Sus scrofa: one gene and its partners. The protein of the gene in region 2 purifies or fractionates together with the protein of the main gene of each other region. This does not show direct contact. Links are inferred from orthologs where the notes say so. Each region holds a gene or a part of one and is shown on either strand. Other genes may lie near its edges. The genes, in order: WDR44, RAB11A and EVI5.

Region 1 (5,482 bases), on a different chromosome or scaffold from region 2:
GCAGTTTAAGGATATGATAAAGTGATTAGACTATCATTTCTCCAAAATGAATAGTGAAGTTTCTAGTTGTTATTTTTAGTGAATGAAATATTGCTTATTTTATAAATACTTTTTAAATGAAATCTACATATTTTAACATTATTTCTAATAGACAGTGTATTGATTTGCTCATGAGTTTTTCTTCATGTGGTAAAATGAAAGCTTTCTCTTTTGTCACATTTTAGGATGACAGGTATTTTCTAAGTGGGTCATTGGATGGAAAACTCCGCCTTTGGAACATACCTGACAAAAAAGTGGCTTTGTGGAATGAAGTAGATGGTCAAACAAAATTGATCACAGCTGCAAATTTCTGTCAGAATGGCAAATATGCAGTGATTGGAACATATGATGGCAGGTGTATTTTCTATGATACAGAGGTAAAGGAATATCTTGTATAAGTTACGTACTTAGTAAAACACTTCTGCAGTGTGGAATAAGTTGGTGTATCCTCTCTGGGCTTTAACTGCCTTATCTGTAAACTGGAGTAAATAATACCACGTCTGTCTGTGAGTTGGCTCAGATGATCTTTGAGGTTCTTTCTAATTCTGATCTCTTTAAATTGTGACTTTTTAGCATTTGAAATACCACACACAAATACATGTCCGATCTACCAGAGGGCGTAACAAGGTCGGAAGAAAAATTACTGGCATTGAGCCTTTACCTGGAGAAAATAAGGTACTAAGTATTCAAAACCATCTCTCTTCACACTATATATAGACTCCTGAAAGTAAGTTCTTTATATCTTGGCTAAGAATATATTTCCTTTTCTATGGAATACTGCTTTTCTAGTTTTGAGATATATTCTCTGTGTGTGTAATACCCTTTTTTGGTTATACCTTAACACAGATTAAAAGATGGTATTTTTAGCTTTTCCTTTCATTTGTTTTTAGATACTGGTAACCTCAAATGACTCCAGAATCAGACTATATGATCTTAGAGATTTGTCACTGTCCATGAAGTATAAGGGGTATGTCAACAGCAGCAGCCAGATCAAAGCAAGTTTCAGGTAAGTTGGCAATGAGAAATTCTGGAAGGAGATCAGAACATTTCTCCCCTACTCCCATTTTTCTGTTGATCTATGCCTTATGTTTATATGGTATTGTTAATTCCTTTGCATGTTTACAGCTGGTATCTCATATTATCAGTCATGCGGTACTTAGCGTAGCCACTTGTTTGATAGAGTTCGAATTGCCCCTACTCTCCAAGTGAAGAAACTGAGATGGAGAAAATTAAGTAATTTGCCTAAAGTCACACTACACTGGTAGTTGCAGAGCCAGGTTTAGAAGACTCCCAGCTCCAGCATTTGTGCTTTTGTACTTTTATGTAAGCTTTCTAAAAGGAATTTACTCCCTTCCCCCACCGCATCCATGGTCTTGATCCCTTTAGATACAGAAGCTAATAAAGCATTTTGACACCCTAAAGTACAGTATTCTCTGTTTATACCTTAACATATTTGTTATATGAATTCTTAATTTAGGATTTTCAGGCTCTCCTGAATGAAATACCTACCTCTTCTCCCTTTATAGCCCTCTTTCAGCCCTTTTCTTACCAGTTCTCTTTTTTGTTGTTGTTGTTGTTGTTGTTGTTGTCTTTTTGCCATTTCTTGGGCCACTCCGGCGGCATATGGAGGTTCCCAGGCTAGGGGTCCAATTGGAGCTGTAGCCACCGGCCTACACCAGAGCCACAGCAACGCGGGATCCGAGCCGCATCTGCGACCTACACCACAGCTCATGGCAACGCCAGATCCCCAACCCACTGAGCAAGGGCAGGGATCGAACCCGCAACCCCATGGTTCCCAATCGGATTCGCTAACCACTGCGCCACGAGGGGAACTCCATCTTTTCTTCTTAAATTACCCAATAATTTAATTGGTAACATATTCCAGTTCTCTCTTTTATCTGTTAAGTAGGCATTCCTGCCAGTGTGTGTTAACCCAGCAGCATTTACCTAGAGGTTTGATGGAAATACTAATGCCTCTGGCCCCCTATGTCAAACCTATACATTCAAAACCTCTGGAGTGAGACTAAGAGTCTATATTTCAACAAGTTCTGTTTGATGTTTTCATAGGCGTTTTAAGCCAGGAAGCTCTGATAGAGGGAAACCTAAAAAAACTTACAATTTGACTTTTTTTCTTTCTTCCCTAAATTTAGCCATGATTTTAGTTACCTCGTTAGTGGCTCAGAAGATAAGTATGTTTATATCTGGAGTACTTACCATGACCTAAGCAAGTTTACTTCAGTCAGGAGGGATCGTAATGACTTTTGGGAAGGTATTAAAGGTAAGTAAGTGGCTACTTTTGTGTGCCTTATAAGTGAGTAAAGTTAAAATAGAGATGTACTGTAAGTAAATTTGTTTAGGGATTATTTCAGAGAAACAGTTTGACAATTTAACTACTTTTGCTTTGTATTAGTTTTGTTTGGTTTTTCCGTACTGAGGAGGAACTTGTCTAAAATTTGAGAAGTCATCATGGAATCTCGGAACTTATATGTAGTTTGGGGTTTTTTGGGAAGTATTTTTGGGTTTTTGATAGTTCTTAGTTGCTTATATGTTTTTAAAGATATTTGCATATAATGTACACTATTATTTTTTATGTATTTTTGTCTTGATGTTTAGAATCAAATTTATTAGTTATCCTGAAGTAAATTTTTTTCCCAGCCCATAATGCAGTTGTCACATCAGCCATCTTTGCTCCAAACCCAAGTTTAATGTTGTCTTTGGATATGCAATCTGAAAAATCAGAAGGGAATGATAAAGGTGAAGATGCTGAGGTTTTAGATACCATGCCCTCTGGTAGGTACTCACATTTTATTTCTCCTACATTTTTTCTATTAGCATTTAGTAGCTTCATTGACCTATGGGTATTCATGAATATGAAGAAGTTTTCATGAGTATGAAGAATATTTCTTGTTTGTAACATAATGGTTGTCAGATGTGCATTTATGAACATTTCAGTAACATAGTTCTTACAAGTTCTACTTCTTTTAAATTCACCTGGGAATTGAAGAATGAAAATTTTTAAAGTTTGTCATTTTTTTTAATGGATAACTGTTCTCTCTGAGAATTGCAAACAAGACTTAAACATATACAAAATTTATTGTCTGTCTCTTCTACTACACTATAATCTGTATGTGTTTTATTTGTTGTCATACTACCAGTGCCTAGCACAGTGCTTGTCTGCATATAGTCGATGCTATATAAACATTTGCTAAATAAGTGAATTAAACCAAAATGAAAGCAGTGTTCTGTTCTACTTGCCACAAATTTACAGCTTCTCATAGATAGCTATTTACAAGCCTGTAATTTCTTGCCCTTTGCAGCATATGCTTTTTTTGTGTGTGTGTCTTTTCTAGGGCTACACGCATGGCACATGGAGGTTCCCAGGCTAGGGGTCTAATTGGAGCTGTAGCTGCCGGCCTAGGCCAGAGCCACAGCAACACGGGAATCCGAGCCACGTCTGCGACCTACACCACAGCTCACGGTAATGCTGGATCCTTAACCCACTGAGTGAGGCCAGGGATTGCACCCGCAACCTCATGGTTCCTAGTCAGATTCGTTAACCACTGAGTCACGACAGGAACTCCCTACAGCATATTCTTTGAGAATGAATAGTACTTCCAGTTATGTAAAATGCTCAGATTAGGAAGTGAAAAGAAACCCTCAAGTGATATTGAGTGCCAATTATATAAAAAAAAACTGTCCCTGTTAATTCTTAAGAGTAAGGTAAAACCATGTAACTTTGGACCAGTTACCAATGAAAACAAGTTTGTATTAATAAAATCAACTGCCAAATAGTTTATTAAATATGTTTTCTCACTTTAGAGACTAAACCAAGCCTTGCAAAGAGTTAATAAAGCCACAACAACGATACAGTGCACAAAGGATGTTTCTCAAAGTATTTTCCTCAGAAAACTAAATGTAGAACTGCCATATGATCCAGCAAGCCTACTCCTGGCCATATATCCAGACAAAACTATAATTCAAAAAGATACATGCACATGCACTGATACACACACACACACACACACACACACACACACACACACACTAGAACATTACTCAGCCATAAAAAATGAAATAATGCATTTACAGAAACATAGGTGGACCTAGTGATTATCATACTAAGTGAAGTAAGTTCAGAGAAAGACAAATATCATACGAGATCACATATGTAGAATCTAAAAAATAGTACAAGTGAACTTACAAGACAAACAAATTTACAGACGTAGAAAATTAACTTATGGTTGCCAAAGGGGAAGTGGGAAGGGGAAATTGCGAGTATGGGATTAACAGATGCGCAGTATGATATGAAATAGGTAAGCAACAGAATTTACTATAGCACAGGGAACTATATTCAATATCTTATAATAAACTATAATGGAAAAAAATTAAAAATATAGATATATACATATATATGTGTATAACCAAATTACTTTGCTGTATACCTGAAACTGTTTGAACTGCTATACACAATATTGTAAATCAACTACACTTCAATTTAAAAAAAAGATACAGGAGTTCCTGTCATGGCTCAGCAGTTAACAAATCTGACTATCATCCATGAGGACACAGGTTCGATCCCTGGCCTTGCTCAGTGGGTTAAGGATCTGGCATTGCTGTGAGTTGTGGTGTAGGCTGGCAACTCTAGCTCCAATTTGACCCCTAGCCTGGGAACCTCCATATGCTGCAGGTGCAGCCCTTAAAAACCAAAAATAAAAAAATTTTAATTTAAAGAAGATACAGCTGAAAACACAAAGAAGTGATAAGAATTAAAGATAACATATGTAAAGTACGTAGCAAAATGCCTGACATTAATAGACACCTTTCTTATTATTGTATCTTAGAAAGCATTTTTATATATATGTGACAAATTATTTTCTTTCTGATATCCCTCAGTTTTTTGCTGCTGCTGCTGTTCCTTAGCACTGCTTTGAGATATACAGAAAGGGTACTTAGGAATGTTCAGAGGCTTAGGATATGTTTTTTAGCAAATCTAAGAGAAACCATTTTGTCTAACTCATCCTGTATACAACTCTCCAGTTAAAGTTTGGACTATTTTCTTCCTTACTTATCAGTCCTTAAATCTACAGTTTTTGCCTATGCATAATAGTTAACACTGAATTTTGTTCATTAAATGCTGTTACCAGCAAATGTAAGAGGTAAGCATTTTTGCCCTTCGTAGCTACAGGGCTCTTCAGTATGTGGACTGGAAAGGTGAAAGGTGCTGTCAGCATTCACAGAGCAATCGTGTGTACTTCATTTCCTGGCAGTTTCAGTATGTCCGCTGTGCAGTAACCTTATTGCTAACCTCATTAGTGAACCCTGTTAAGAGAAGACTTGCCCAGCTGAATCCATCCTGTCAACACTCCAATCCTGGGGCTGAATAACAAGCTAGCCTCTTGTCTTGAAATGAGGAAATTAGACAATTTAGGAGGCCTTGGCTGCC
Region 2 (6,170 bases):
TGTACAGTGCTTCTCAATTTATTGAAACATGCAGTTCCTTCTTTTGAGGAATACTATTGACCTTCTCAGGACACACCATTGAGAAACAATGACTTAAGGGAAAAAGTTCATAATTCTTCCTCGAGCATGAATGGCCTTGCTCAACATGCTCTTATCATCTAATTTCCTCCATTTCCCCACATAAGTTTCCTTACTTTCTTCAGGGGTCAATGCTAGTTCCTCTTCTTCCAGGGAGTTCTTCCTAATTATCTCAGCCCCTCTGAACTGTGGCATGTTGCCAGAACTCTCCTTCAGGCCTGTCTGGTAACTGATACTCCCCCTTTTCTTGCATCCATCCTGACTATCTACCTGAGTTGTGCTAGGAGTGTCATAAGTGATCTGTAGTACACATAATGTTTAGCTGTTTGAGTAATTTTGTTCTCCTCTAACATGGATAATGCTCAAGGCAGTATCTAGGCCTTAGGTAAACCTTCTGTTGCTTTATACTGTCACAGAAAGCATCGAAAATGGCACTGTATTAGTTTTCTATTGCTGCTGAAACAAATTACCACAAACTTAGCGACTTAAAGCAACACACATTTATTATTTTGTAATTCTGTAGGTCAAAAGTCTGACATGAGTCTCACTGGGCTAAAATCAAGATGTCAGCAGGGCTGTGTTCTTTTCTGGGGGGCCTTAGGGAAGAATCAATTTCCTTGCCTTTTCCATCTTCTATAATAAGCTTCTATGTTCCTAGGCTCCTGGCCCCCTTTCTCCATGTTCAAAGCCACATGGGCTGGTTGAGGCCTTCTCACATGACATCACTGACCTCCTCTGTCTACCCTACTTTTAAGAACACTCGAGAGGACATTTGGCGCACCTGAAGAATCCATGCTAATCTCCCTATTTTATTTCTTTTAATATGTATTTATTAATGATTTTTATAATCTCCCTATTTTATAGTCAGTTGATTTGCAACCTTAAGTCCATCTGCGAACGCAATTCCCCTTTGCCATGTAACCTAACATATTCACAGTTCCTTGGGACTGAGAAGTGAACATCTTTGGGGCACCATTATTCAGCTTACTACAGGTACCCTTGCCCCAAAGTCTAAATTGCATATAGGTGGTAGTGGGGTTTGACAATAAAGGGGAAAAACTTTTTAGCCTAACAAACTCTCTTAAAATACAGGGAGGTACTGCTGTGTGGTCTTCGGTAATCTCTTGAGGCTCCCCATCCACATTTCCGCTAAAATGTTAATTGCCATCCTTTGCTCTGTGTGTTAAATGAAATAATTATGTAACTAGGTTTAGCTTAGGGGATGACAAATAGGGTGCAAGAAGTTCTTGATGAATTTTGAGGAGGAGGGTGGGCGAGGTTCTTTGAATGACATCTGGAGATGGTTTGAGAAATTCCTGGAGAAATGGAATTCTAGCAAAAGGAATTCTGATTCTAGCAAAAGGAATCAGGTGTCACGGAAGCTTTGGAATTCAGGTTTAAGTCCAAAGGCCCATTTTAAAAAAATGAAGCGCAGAGGCTACTTAGAAAGCACCTAGGTGACAGCACAGAACTTAAGAGGGAACTATATGAAGTTTTCCCAGGCAAAGACATGTGTCATTTCCTCTCTACTTAGTTCAAGGACAGATATACCATGGTTGTACCTCGATCACCTAGTGAATAAGTAAATGAATTATAAAAACATAGCTAGGAAAAAGTGTCCTAGGTTCCACCGAGATTTGAACTCGGATCGCTGGATTCAGAGTCCAGAGTGCTAACCATTACACCATGGAACCGACACGCTCAAGAGGCCGCCTTCGGCTCTCTAATCCTTAGATAACCCCGCCCCCATCCACAGTTCCACCAAAGGAATCAGTGTTGCAGTGCTCTCCAGCGCCCGGCTTCTCCGCCTGGCGGCCCGCGGAATAAAGGAGACCAGGAAGTGTGGTGAGCAGCAGCTGGGAGTGCGGTCAGTCGACAGGCCGGGGCTCAGTAGCTCCTCGGAACCTTCTGGAGTGGCTCAGAACTTGAGACCCACGAGGTTCACGCCTACCGCCTTCTTGGATTCAGGGGCGGAGTACTGCCTCCCCGGAAGTACTTCCCCTTAGGGGCTGGGGCCTGCCGGAAGTGGCGTAGCGGCAGGGAGGGGTTCTTCACCCGGTCCGGCAGCTGAAGCTCGGCGCTTGGGTTACCCCTGCAGCGACGCCCCCTGGTCCCACCGGTCTCTCTACTGCTCCCGCCCCTTCGCTCCTCCGCCTGGCCATGGGCACCCGCGACGACGAGTACGACTACCTCTTCAAAGGTGAGGCTGTGGGCTCTCGGACAGGCCCCCGAGTCCCGGTTCGGGGGCCTGGGACACTCCCGGGGGACCCGCCCGGCGGGCTGCCCCGGCTCTGAGATTGGCCTTCCTCAGCCCTTCCTCTCAGTGCGGTTCGTTTTGCCGTCTCGCAGCTCAGTCCCTTTTTTTCCCCCTCACTTAGGCTCCACACTGGCTCTTAGCGACCTCCCCGGAGGCCTTAGGAAGCCTCAGCGTCCCTACCGTGCCCCCTTCTCGCTGCTGACTGCCTTCTCCCACATCGCCTTCCTTATTTCCCGGGTTCCACGGCCTCTTCAAAGGGGAGCCCCTCCCACCTTCCATCTTTTCGGGTTGGGCGCCCCCTCAGCAGACATCCCGAGCCCCTCTGACAGGCCTTTCTCTTTGCTCCCACACCTTTCCTTCGGCGCACACTTCCACTACAGGTCTTTTTCTTATCAACCTCCCTTTCCCCTTGGGCAAGCCTCTCCTCTGCGTCTCCTCACGCCCCTCCCCACGGCCAGACGCCTCTCCTAGTCCGGTTCTCCCATCTCCTTGGCCAGGCCCTGGTTAAAACCCAAACGGGCCAGCGGCCCCACCCCCACCCGCCCCACAGCTCTCGAGGTCCGTAACCTTCGCGCACAGCCCCCGTGGTTGGTAACTCTTTTTCTGCCTCCTCTCCCCACATAGTTTAGTTTAGGAGCTCTCCCGTGTCTCCTGTGCGACCCTGAGGGTGGTGGTGGTGGTGGTGGGGGTTAGGGCAAGAGGGATGGTCCCATCACCCACGCGCGTACTTGTCGCAGTGACCGGCAGACCGATGTGACTTGCACCCATCCTTTTTTTCTCCTACCCTCCCTACCCAGCGGCAACCAGCCCAGGATAACTCTTAACACTGCTCCCGACAAGGGGTTGCGGATGGGTGGCGGCTGTTATCCTTGCCAGACCTGAAGGCCCAGTTCCTGAGCAGGAAAGGTTGTGCGCTGCACAAATACTAGCTTGCTTTATCGCTATGGACTGGTTGCTTCCTGCTGCAACACTGGGAGGATCCAACCTTTTGGTGTTTTTAGAACAGGAAGGGAAGAGTCCTAGTTGGTCACATACCTTTGCCAAAATATGGGAGTTGGGAGGGGGGCGCATGGCGAAGTTGTGTGCTCTTTGGTCAAATTAAATATTTTTTATAAGATAGGGAAACATGTAGTGCCCTTGGACAAAACATTGGAGGGTGGAGTGAAGAAAAATTGCTTATTGGCTAGTCCAGAAAGAATCCAAATAGTTTGTTTTTTTTTTTAATCAACAAAGATAAAAGGTACAGTTTTCAGAGAGAAAAGTACAGTAAATGCTTTTTTTGTTCAGTGAATGCGCTCTCTCTGATGCTCTTTCTCTGCTCCTGAATTAGGAGGGCAGCCATCAGTAGTATGCTGAACAAAGATCATTACCAGGGAGGAAGAAGCCATTGCTATTAAAGCTTTACAGTGGAGGGTGGAGTTAAAAAAGAATGTTAAGCTTGGTGACTGTGTCTGACTTTGCCACTGGGTGCTGAGAATGGTTGACTAAACAAAGCGAGAAACATTGCTTTACCAGTACTTTGCGAATCTTGGCATTATAGCTGATGATATACCTTTATAAGCACTTAGTCTTCTCAAGTTTTATATAGGGTGAGTACCTTCACTATGCACTCCTACCCCCACCTCCCACATAGTGGAAAGTCATTTTTACAGATACAGAAAGGGAACATGGATTCATTTGTATGCTATTGGTTAAAGGCATCTGAGGTCTGGTGAAAATATTTAGTGAGACTCTGAAGACCGGTGTTAGTCATTAAAGGGAGATTTGTTTTTTTTAAATAAGGTACAAGAACAGCGGGCAGCTAGCTAGCTAGCTTTGAAGTAATTAATTTAGAGCAAGATAAACTATCAGAATATTTCTCCTGTTTGGTTTAGAACTTGGATGTTGGTTATAGAAGCCAGTTATTTTTTTCACTAAGTTCACTAATTATCCTTGATTGGCTTAGGGGATTTTTAACTTAGCTTTGGGTTTAGACCATCCTACAAGCAATGATTGAGAGAGCACAGCACTTTGGAATCATCCAGGCCTGGATTCAAATACTGACTCAGGTCTTAAATTTGTTTTGTGACCTTGGGAAAGTTGACTTGTTTGAGCCTCTCTTCCCTCATCTATAAAAAAGAAATAATACCTCTCAGGGCTGGTGTGAGAATTAAATGAGATAGGTTGTAAAATGTTAGCTTCTGTGAGGACTCAAATATGGTAATAATGTGAAAGAAGTTACTGTGGTTCTTGTCAGTTTTTTTTTTTTAAACTTTAAACCTATAAATATGAGAGTATTAGTAAAAAACCTAAAACCAGGTGGGATCTTCTAAAAAATAATATTGTTTCCATGGGTTATGGTTTCATTTGTTACATGTTTTGCTGTTTGATGGGGTGTTTTAAAAATTGCGCTGAGAAAAATTTCCACTTTTTTAAAGCTCTTACAGGATATGAGTCACTTTTTAACTTGTGATGATTATTTAACCCATTTCTTATTTATAAAATTATAATTTAAAGTGAAGCAACAATAATTTCATTTTAAAATGGTTTCCTTCTACATAGATTTGTTGTCTGAGATGCTGCAGCTGCATACTTGGACGAAGGCTTACCTAGCAAACTTAATAGTTGAAGGAATTGGAAGTTAGTTGGTAACTCTAACCAATTGAAAATGAAGGGATATTTGAATTGGTATAGGATGGAGTGGTCCAAATGGGAATGTAATGTGGAGCCAGCAGGATTATTCTAAATTATGTATTTGTTCTCAAATATTAATCTTTAGTTAGCTCAACAGTGAGATTTTTGGTGATGGTGGGAATTTATTTTATTTTTTAAAACTTGACTTTTTGTTTTAAAAACTTTAATTCCACAAATATTTACATACAGTGTGGTTAAGGCCCTGCAGGACACATAAGTGAAACACGAATCAAGTTCCAGTTTACAAATATTGTGGTAGACACCAATCCAGAGTCACATTTTCTGAAAATATGTAGATTAGTAGTCTACACCATTTTCTTTTCAATCTCATTGAAGGTCAGTAGTAATTAACCTCATTTGATTGTCAGTGGAACTGATCATAGGAACTTTGTTATCTTGTGTCTTGATAGTTTTTCTTTCACAACTTTTGGTTGAGCAATTTGGGTTCTGCTGAGTCTGGAAAAACTTCTCTAGATTTCAGCCTTATTGAGTGTGTTTTATTTTAAAGACTCTTGGTGAGGTTGGACTATGAATATAGTTGAAAGAGTAGAAGGATCTCCAAGTTTGTTTATAAAAACTAGTATGAAAATCATCAGTTACTCCTTCAGGTGATAACTTTTAATTCTGAGATTCTGTGATTGATTTGTGGAATTAAATTTTAGTCCAGGACATTAGTTTGTAAGATAGTGTATAAAACTAAATATGGTTGAAGAGTTGAAAGTTTTTATTAAATAATGGTCAATTGATATGTATATTCTGTTTAGCAGTCTAATATTTGATGTATAAAAAACCAAATTTAGTATGAGGTATTAGAGATGGTACTTAAGATTCAGCAGATGAAGTTAACCAAGTGGTAATGAATATTACCAGATTTAGAAATGCTATAAATGTTTTTTATATATAGGTGCTGTTATTTAATGCTTACACACACTCACTCACATATGTATATATGTATGTGTTATATATGTCATATAGATGGCTATAGTTATAAAATGTTTAAAGTGGAAGTACTATTAAGACACTAATTATGGAAAATATAGGAAAGTCATTTGAAAATTCCTTTCTTGAACTATAGGATGTAGTTATATGATTTGTCACATTTTAAAACAGCAGTTAAATATTGTAATCTTAATGAGAAACTGTTTTGATTAGAAATTGAGTT
Region 3 (5,482 bases), on a different chromosome or scaffold from region 2:
AAACCTCTGTATCACCTCTTTTTTGACTGAGTGAGAATTAGTGAGGGGTTAAAATGACCTCCTGGTTAATACTGTTGTGGTGTATCTGTTACCCAAAGAGGAAGGAGCAATGAGCATAATTAAGTTTCTTCTGGTACGTGAACATGTCACATGTAGTCCTTTTAATTGTCGTGGACATGAAGTGATCATTTGTCTTCTGTATTCTGAGTGAGAAGGTAGGAAGGTCAGGATAGATGGTAGAGAGCACCTGAGTTTTTTCTTTCTTTCTTTTTTTCTTTTGCTTTTTAGGGCTGCACCTGCAACACATGGAAGTTCCCAGCCTAGGGGTCAAATCAGAGCTGCAGCTGCCTGCCTACGCCGCAGCCACAGCAATGCCAGATCCAATCTGTGTCTGTGACCTACACCACAGCTCACAGCAATGCCAGATCCTTAACCTACTGAGCGAGACCAGAGATCGAACCTGCGTCCTCATGGATACTAGTCGGGTTCTTAACCCTCTGAGTCACAGTGGGACATCCCAGCGCCTGAAGATATTATTAGTTACTATGAATTACGTTTTGGGAAAATCAGTTTGTATAATAAGCCACATTAGGTTAGTCTGGGGCTGGCACACTGTGCTTCATGTACTGATCTGTCCCGGTGCACATGCCAAATCTATCTTTCCACTTGTCTTTGCTTTTTATAGCCACACTTGTTACATATGAAAGTTCTTGGGCTAGGGGAGCTGCAGTTGCCAGCCTATGCCACATCCACAGCAATGCTGGATCTGAGCCACATCTGTGACCTATGCTGCAGCTTGTGGCAGTGCAGGATCCTTAACCCACTGAGCGAGGCCAGGGGATGAACCCACACCCCCATGGATACTAGTTGGGTTCTTAACCCGCTGAGCCACAATGGGAACTCCATGTCCTTCCACTTGAATAGTTTCCTGGAATATAGCCGTGACCACTGCTGATGTGATAGTTGTGTCTGCTTTGGAGCAGCAGGATAGCAGAGCTGAGTTGTGGCAGCGACCACATGGCTCATAAATCTTAAAACGTTTGTGGTTCATCTCTTTACCGAAAGTGTTTCCCAGCCTCTAGTTTAGCTACCTAAATGTTCACCTTACTATTCCTTTGAATGATTGTTTTTTTCTGTGGAAAAGTAAGACAATTTTGACTTTATACCATTTGTTTCCTCAGGGTTTAGAAATAGTGTTTCGGGTAGGATTGGCGCTTCTTCAGATGAACCAGGCAGAACTGATGCAGCTCGACATGGAAGGGATGTTACAGGTAAGTCGGGTCCTGACGTCTTAACAGTCTTTAGATTTTACTATTAAATGATGCTGAATAGCACTAAGCAGTTCTTCTGTGTTTCTCTCACTGTGTCAGCACTTTCAGAAGGTCATTCCGCATCAGTTTGATGGTGGCCCAGACAAGTTAATCCAGGCAGCTTACCAAGTCAAATATAACTCAAAAAAAATGAAAAAGTGAGTATTTTCTGTTCTGATTTTTGGTTGTGGTGGTTTGTTGGTGCATTTAGGAAATTAAGTAGAAGCGGCCAGACATTCTCCTGGTGAGGGCAGTTTTCCTCCGCACTTGGGGGACCTGTGGGGTTTTCTTTGGTGGCACTGGTTTCAGGAGAACGTAGATTTAAAGAGTTGCACAGTGCCCTAGGGGCGCACGGCGCGGTACGTTCCAGAATCCCCTTTCCTGTCCCACACGGGCAGGCCTGGGAACCCGGCGTGTGTGTTGTTTTAGAGACGCTTTGACGCTGTGGTCTCAGGCACAGACTTTCTTTTCCTCGCCGTTGGTCCCAGTGTGTCACGTAAGTTCAAGATGAGCATAACCAGCACTTTAGGTGTGAGGTAGGCATTAAGTTAAAATTGTATTTATTATGTATTGCTTTTAATGAAACTTTGTTGTATATTTTTTCGTGAAAGTTCAAGATATGCAGCCTTGGCTTACAATGGTTAATTTTTGAAATGCGGTAAAGGTGTTAAGAATGACAGCTCTTACTCATCGAGCTTCCGGTGATTAGATCAATCTTAGCCTGAGGTCAAAATTCGCATTCCTGACGCTTACTAAAGTGGCAGAGCTGGCCCCACCATTCTCGGTGTCTTTGCTGCTGCAGCATGAAGTTACATGACATGAGCATGTACACTATACTGCCATGGGTATTCCTACCCCAGAGGTGGGTTAGAACATGAGTAAGAATTACGTCGTTAAAATTAGTTAGCTCTAATTTGCAAAAACAGCCAATTTTTGATCTTGAACTATTATGAATTACCTGTGAAATTGCTAATAACCAATCACATTACACCATCATTTAGAGATGTTATAGACTGTTCTGTTCTGTAATCGATAAAACCTTAGGAGCCATCTCAATTTCTGCCTCTTGACTTTACTTAAAAATACTTAATTGCTAAAAAATGCTGACCATCATCTGGGCCTTCAGAAAGTCGTGATCTTTTTACAGCAGTGCCATCCAAGATAAGAGATCACCAGAGCAAACATGCTTCTCTTTTTTCTCCTCCTTTCTCTTGCAGTCTCTACTTCTTACTGCCTTGACTACTGCTTAGTGGTTAGTAGCTGTTTATGCATAGTCTGGCGAGTAATACTTGATCAGTATTAAAGAATATTAAAAGTGTATGAGTCTCATCCTTTTCTCCTAAGTACTGCTCTCAGGATGTGTGACGACCTCAGACTTGGACCTGGCTCTGGAGAAGGTTCAAGCTTCCTGTAGGTAGGAGGGTGGCAGAACAGAGAATTAAATCGCTTAGTACAATTACAGCCTGGTAGTTGTCCTTGTAGCAGGTTGTTAGTATAACATGTAAGAGATGTCTGTAAGCTGCGTACACAGTCTAGTCTGCTGTGACTCAGGAAAATGTTCAGAGCCTGGTGACTAGATTTTCAGTTCCGTCTGTGTTCTTTCCTGACTCTTATCTGCCTGATGACATTCCTGTGTTAGAGGTGTCTTTACTGAGTTCAAGCTCATAATGCTTGCTGCATGTCGGGCCAGTAAATGCAGAGATAAGATGTTGGGACAAGAAATAGCAGCTTTATTCAGCAGACCAAGTCGGTGGTGGCCTAGTGTCCCAGTGACTGTCTTAGCCAGGTCAGAATTTAGGCCCCTTTTATTTTTATTTATTTATTTATTTATTTTGTCTTTTTTTTTTTGCTATTTCTTGGGCCACTCCCGCGGCATATGGAGGTTCCCAGGCTAGGGGTCGAATCGGAGCTGTAGCCACCGGCCTACGCCAGGGCCACAGCAACGCGGGATCTGAGCTGCGTCTGCAACCTACACCACAGCTCACGGCAACACCGGATCGTTAACCCACTGAGCAAGGGCAGGGACCGAACCCACCACCTCATGGTTCCTAGTCAGATTCGTTAACCACTGCGCCACGACGGGAACTCCTAGGCCCCATTTATACTAGATGTGGCCAGAATGTGGCCGGTCATTGCAAACTTGTTGGTGCTGGAATCCTTTGTTCTTGCAGCTGGCTTATGTCCTCTAGTCACAGTGTTCCTATAAACTTCCAGCAGACCCATGTTATTCTCTGTTCTGCAACTTTTTTCCCTGTGTGAATGGAAAAGTGTTAGACCCTTAAAGGGCAGAGTCTTGAGATTTCAGAGTCTTTTGCTCCAGAAGGAGTGTCCCCTGAGAGAACAAAGCAAGAACAATCCAGTGAAGTAGCTTCTTATTTCATCCAGCTGACAAATGCTTGGCAAGGCTGGCTTATCTTGCTTATAGTTCGAATTGAAAAGTTGAATGGTGATCATGGGGTCAAGCATTAACATATAAAGTTTTAGTGAAAAAATTGGAAGCATGTATAAATTACCTCCTTTACAAGTATATGCACGTCTGTAACAATTTTTTTTTTAGATGCCTTTGTAGTATATAAGGAGTTGGAGTTGCCTGCTGGCTAAGCGGGTTAAGGATCTGGTGTTGTCACTGCCATGGCTTGGGTGACTGCTGTGGCACAGGTTTTATCCCTAGCCCAGGAACTTCCACATGCTGTGAGTGTGGCCAAAAAAAAGAATGAAGTATATAAGGGGCAACATTCTTTTAGCAAGTACCTGAGGAAAAAAAATTGAAGACCATTAACTTGGTTGGATAGGAAAATGGCAGAAGTTGGAGATTGAGGTTGTTTCTGAAGATGGCTCCAGAATACAATCATTATTATTATTATTATTATTATTATTTGTCTTTTTAGGACCACACCCGCAGCATATGGAGGTTCCCAGGCTAGGGGTAGAATCGGAGCTGTAGCTGCTGGCCTACACCAGAGCCACAGCAATGCAGGATCTGAGCCACGGCTGTTATCTACACCACAGCTCATGGCAACGCTGGATCCTTAACCAGTTATTTTGTAGAAAGTGCCATAGTTTGGGTTTTTCTAACATTTCCTCGTTATTAGATTCAGGTTGCTCATTTTTGGCAGGTGTACCAGTAATGCTGTGTCTTCTCAGTTCACCGTACAGTAGGTGTACCGTACTGGCTTGTCTCAAAATTGATGTCAGCTTTGATTACTTGGTTAAGGTGATGTCTCCAGGTTTCACAACTATTAATTTATTATTTTTCTTTTTTTACTAAGTAATTTGTGCCAAGGTGCTTCGCTCCCCAGATTTACATCTGTTATGATGCTCTCACTCGCTCTTTTCTTTCTTATTAATTGGCATTCTTCTATAAGGAAGCCGTTTCCCTTCTTACTAGTTTGTTTGCTTACTTCAGTGTGAATCCAGTGACTCACTTTTGTGGTGAATTATAACCCATTACTCTCAAATTGTCCCTGTAGTGTCCAGTGGGAGTGCTTTCGGGCTGGCTGCTCTGTGCTTTTGGCAAGCCCCCAGGATTCCTCGAAACTTCCCTTACTTTTAGGGCAGCAAAGTATTTCCGACTCATCTTGAACCTTACCGTCTTCTCCTTAGGAGTGAGATGTTTCTCTCAAGAGCTCTTGGTGAAGGCAGAATGAAGTAGCCTTGCAGAAACCTGATGCACCTCAGCCAGGTGATCAGGTCGGCCTCGGCCGTGCTGTCCTGCTGATAGTGTATACCCGTGGTCTTCCTCCCCTAAAAAACCCATAATGCCGCTATAATCAGCGAAGCATGAGACAAATCCCAGTCGAGGGACAGTCTACAAAATACCTAATGACCAGCACTCTTCAGACTATCAGGGAAATAAACACTCGTGAGGTCTGAGAAATTGTCCTGGCCAAGGGACCTAAGAAGACACGACAGCTCAGTGTGACGTGGTGTCCTGGATGGGATCCTCGAACAGAAAATGGACATTAGACAAAAATTTAGGCAATCCGAGTAAACTATGGCCCTCACTTGTTCATAATGTATTAATAATGGTGGCTCACCGGTTGTCTTAAAGTTGCTGCACTGATGGAAGAGGTAAGCATGGCGGAAACTGGGGGTGGGGTGTGTAGACACTCAGTACTCTTCTAATTATTTTGCAAACCCAAAACTGTTCTAAATAATACAGTTTAAAAAAA

The links.
Region 1: the proteins of RAB11A (region 2) and WDR44 purify together in Homo sapiens (affinity purification with mass spectrometry; 3 studies listed by BioGRID and IntAct, counting the BioPlex papers as one, with this or other methods). This does not show direct contact. The link is inferred for Sus scrofa from reciprocal best matches to the Homo sapiens genes RAB11A and WDR44.
Region 3: the proteins of RAB11A (region 2) and EVI5 purify together in Homo sapiens (co-immunoprecipitation; 3 studies listed by BioGRID and IntAct, with this or other methods). This does not show direct contact. The link is inferred for Sus scrofa from reciprocal best matches to the Homo sapiens genes RAB11A and EVI5.

The regions. Positions count from the first base shown.
Region 1 is NC_010461.5:97,018,977-97,024,458, forward strand, and holds part of WDR44 (WD repeat-containing protein 44), read left to right. Parts: intron 1-224; coding exon 225-416; intron 417-612; coding exon 613-714; intron 715-929; coding exon 930-1,045; intron 1,046-2,189; coding exon 2,190-2,317; intron 2,318-2,694; coding exon 2,695-2,829; intron 2,830-5,482. UniProt on the Homo sapiens protein: Downstream effector for Rab11 which regulates Rab11 intracellular membrane trafficking functions such as endocytic recycling, intracellular ciliogenesis and protein export.
Region 2 is NC_010443.5:163,856,016-163,862,185, forward strand, and holds the start of RAB11A (ras-related protein Rab-11A), read left to right. Parts: upstream 1-2,238; coding exon 2,239-2,278; intron 2,279-6,170. UniProt on the Homo sapiens protein: The small GTPases Rab are key regulators of intracellular membrane trafficking, from the formation of transport vesicles to their fusion with membranes.
Region 3 is NC_010446.5:124,477,563-124,483,044, forward strand, and holds part of EVI5 (ecotropic viral integration site 5 protein homolog), read left to right. Parts: intron 1-1,181; coding exon 1,182-1,271; intron 1,272-1,370; coding exon 1,371-1,468; intron 1,469-5,482. UniProt on the Homo sapiens protein: Functions as a regulator of cell cycle progression by stabilizing the FBXO5 protein and promoting cyclin-A accumulation during interphase. May play a role in cytokinesis.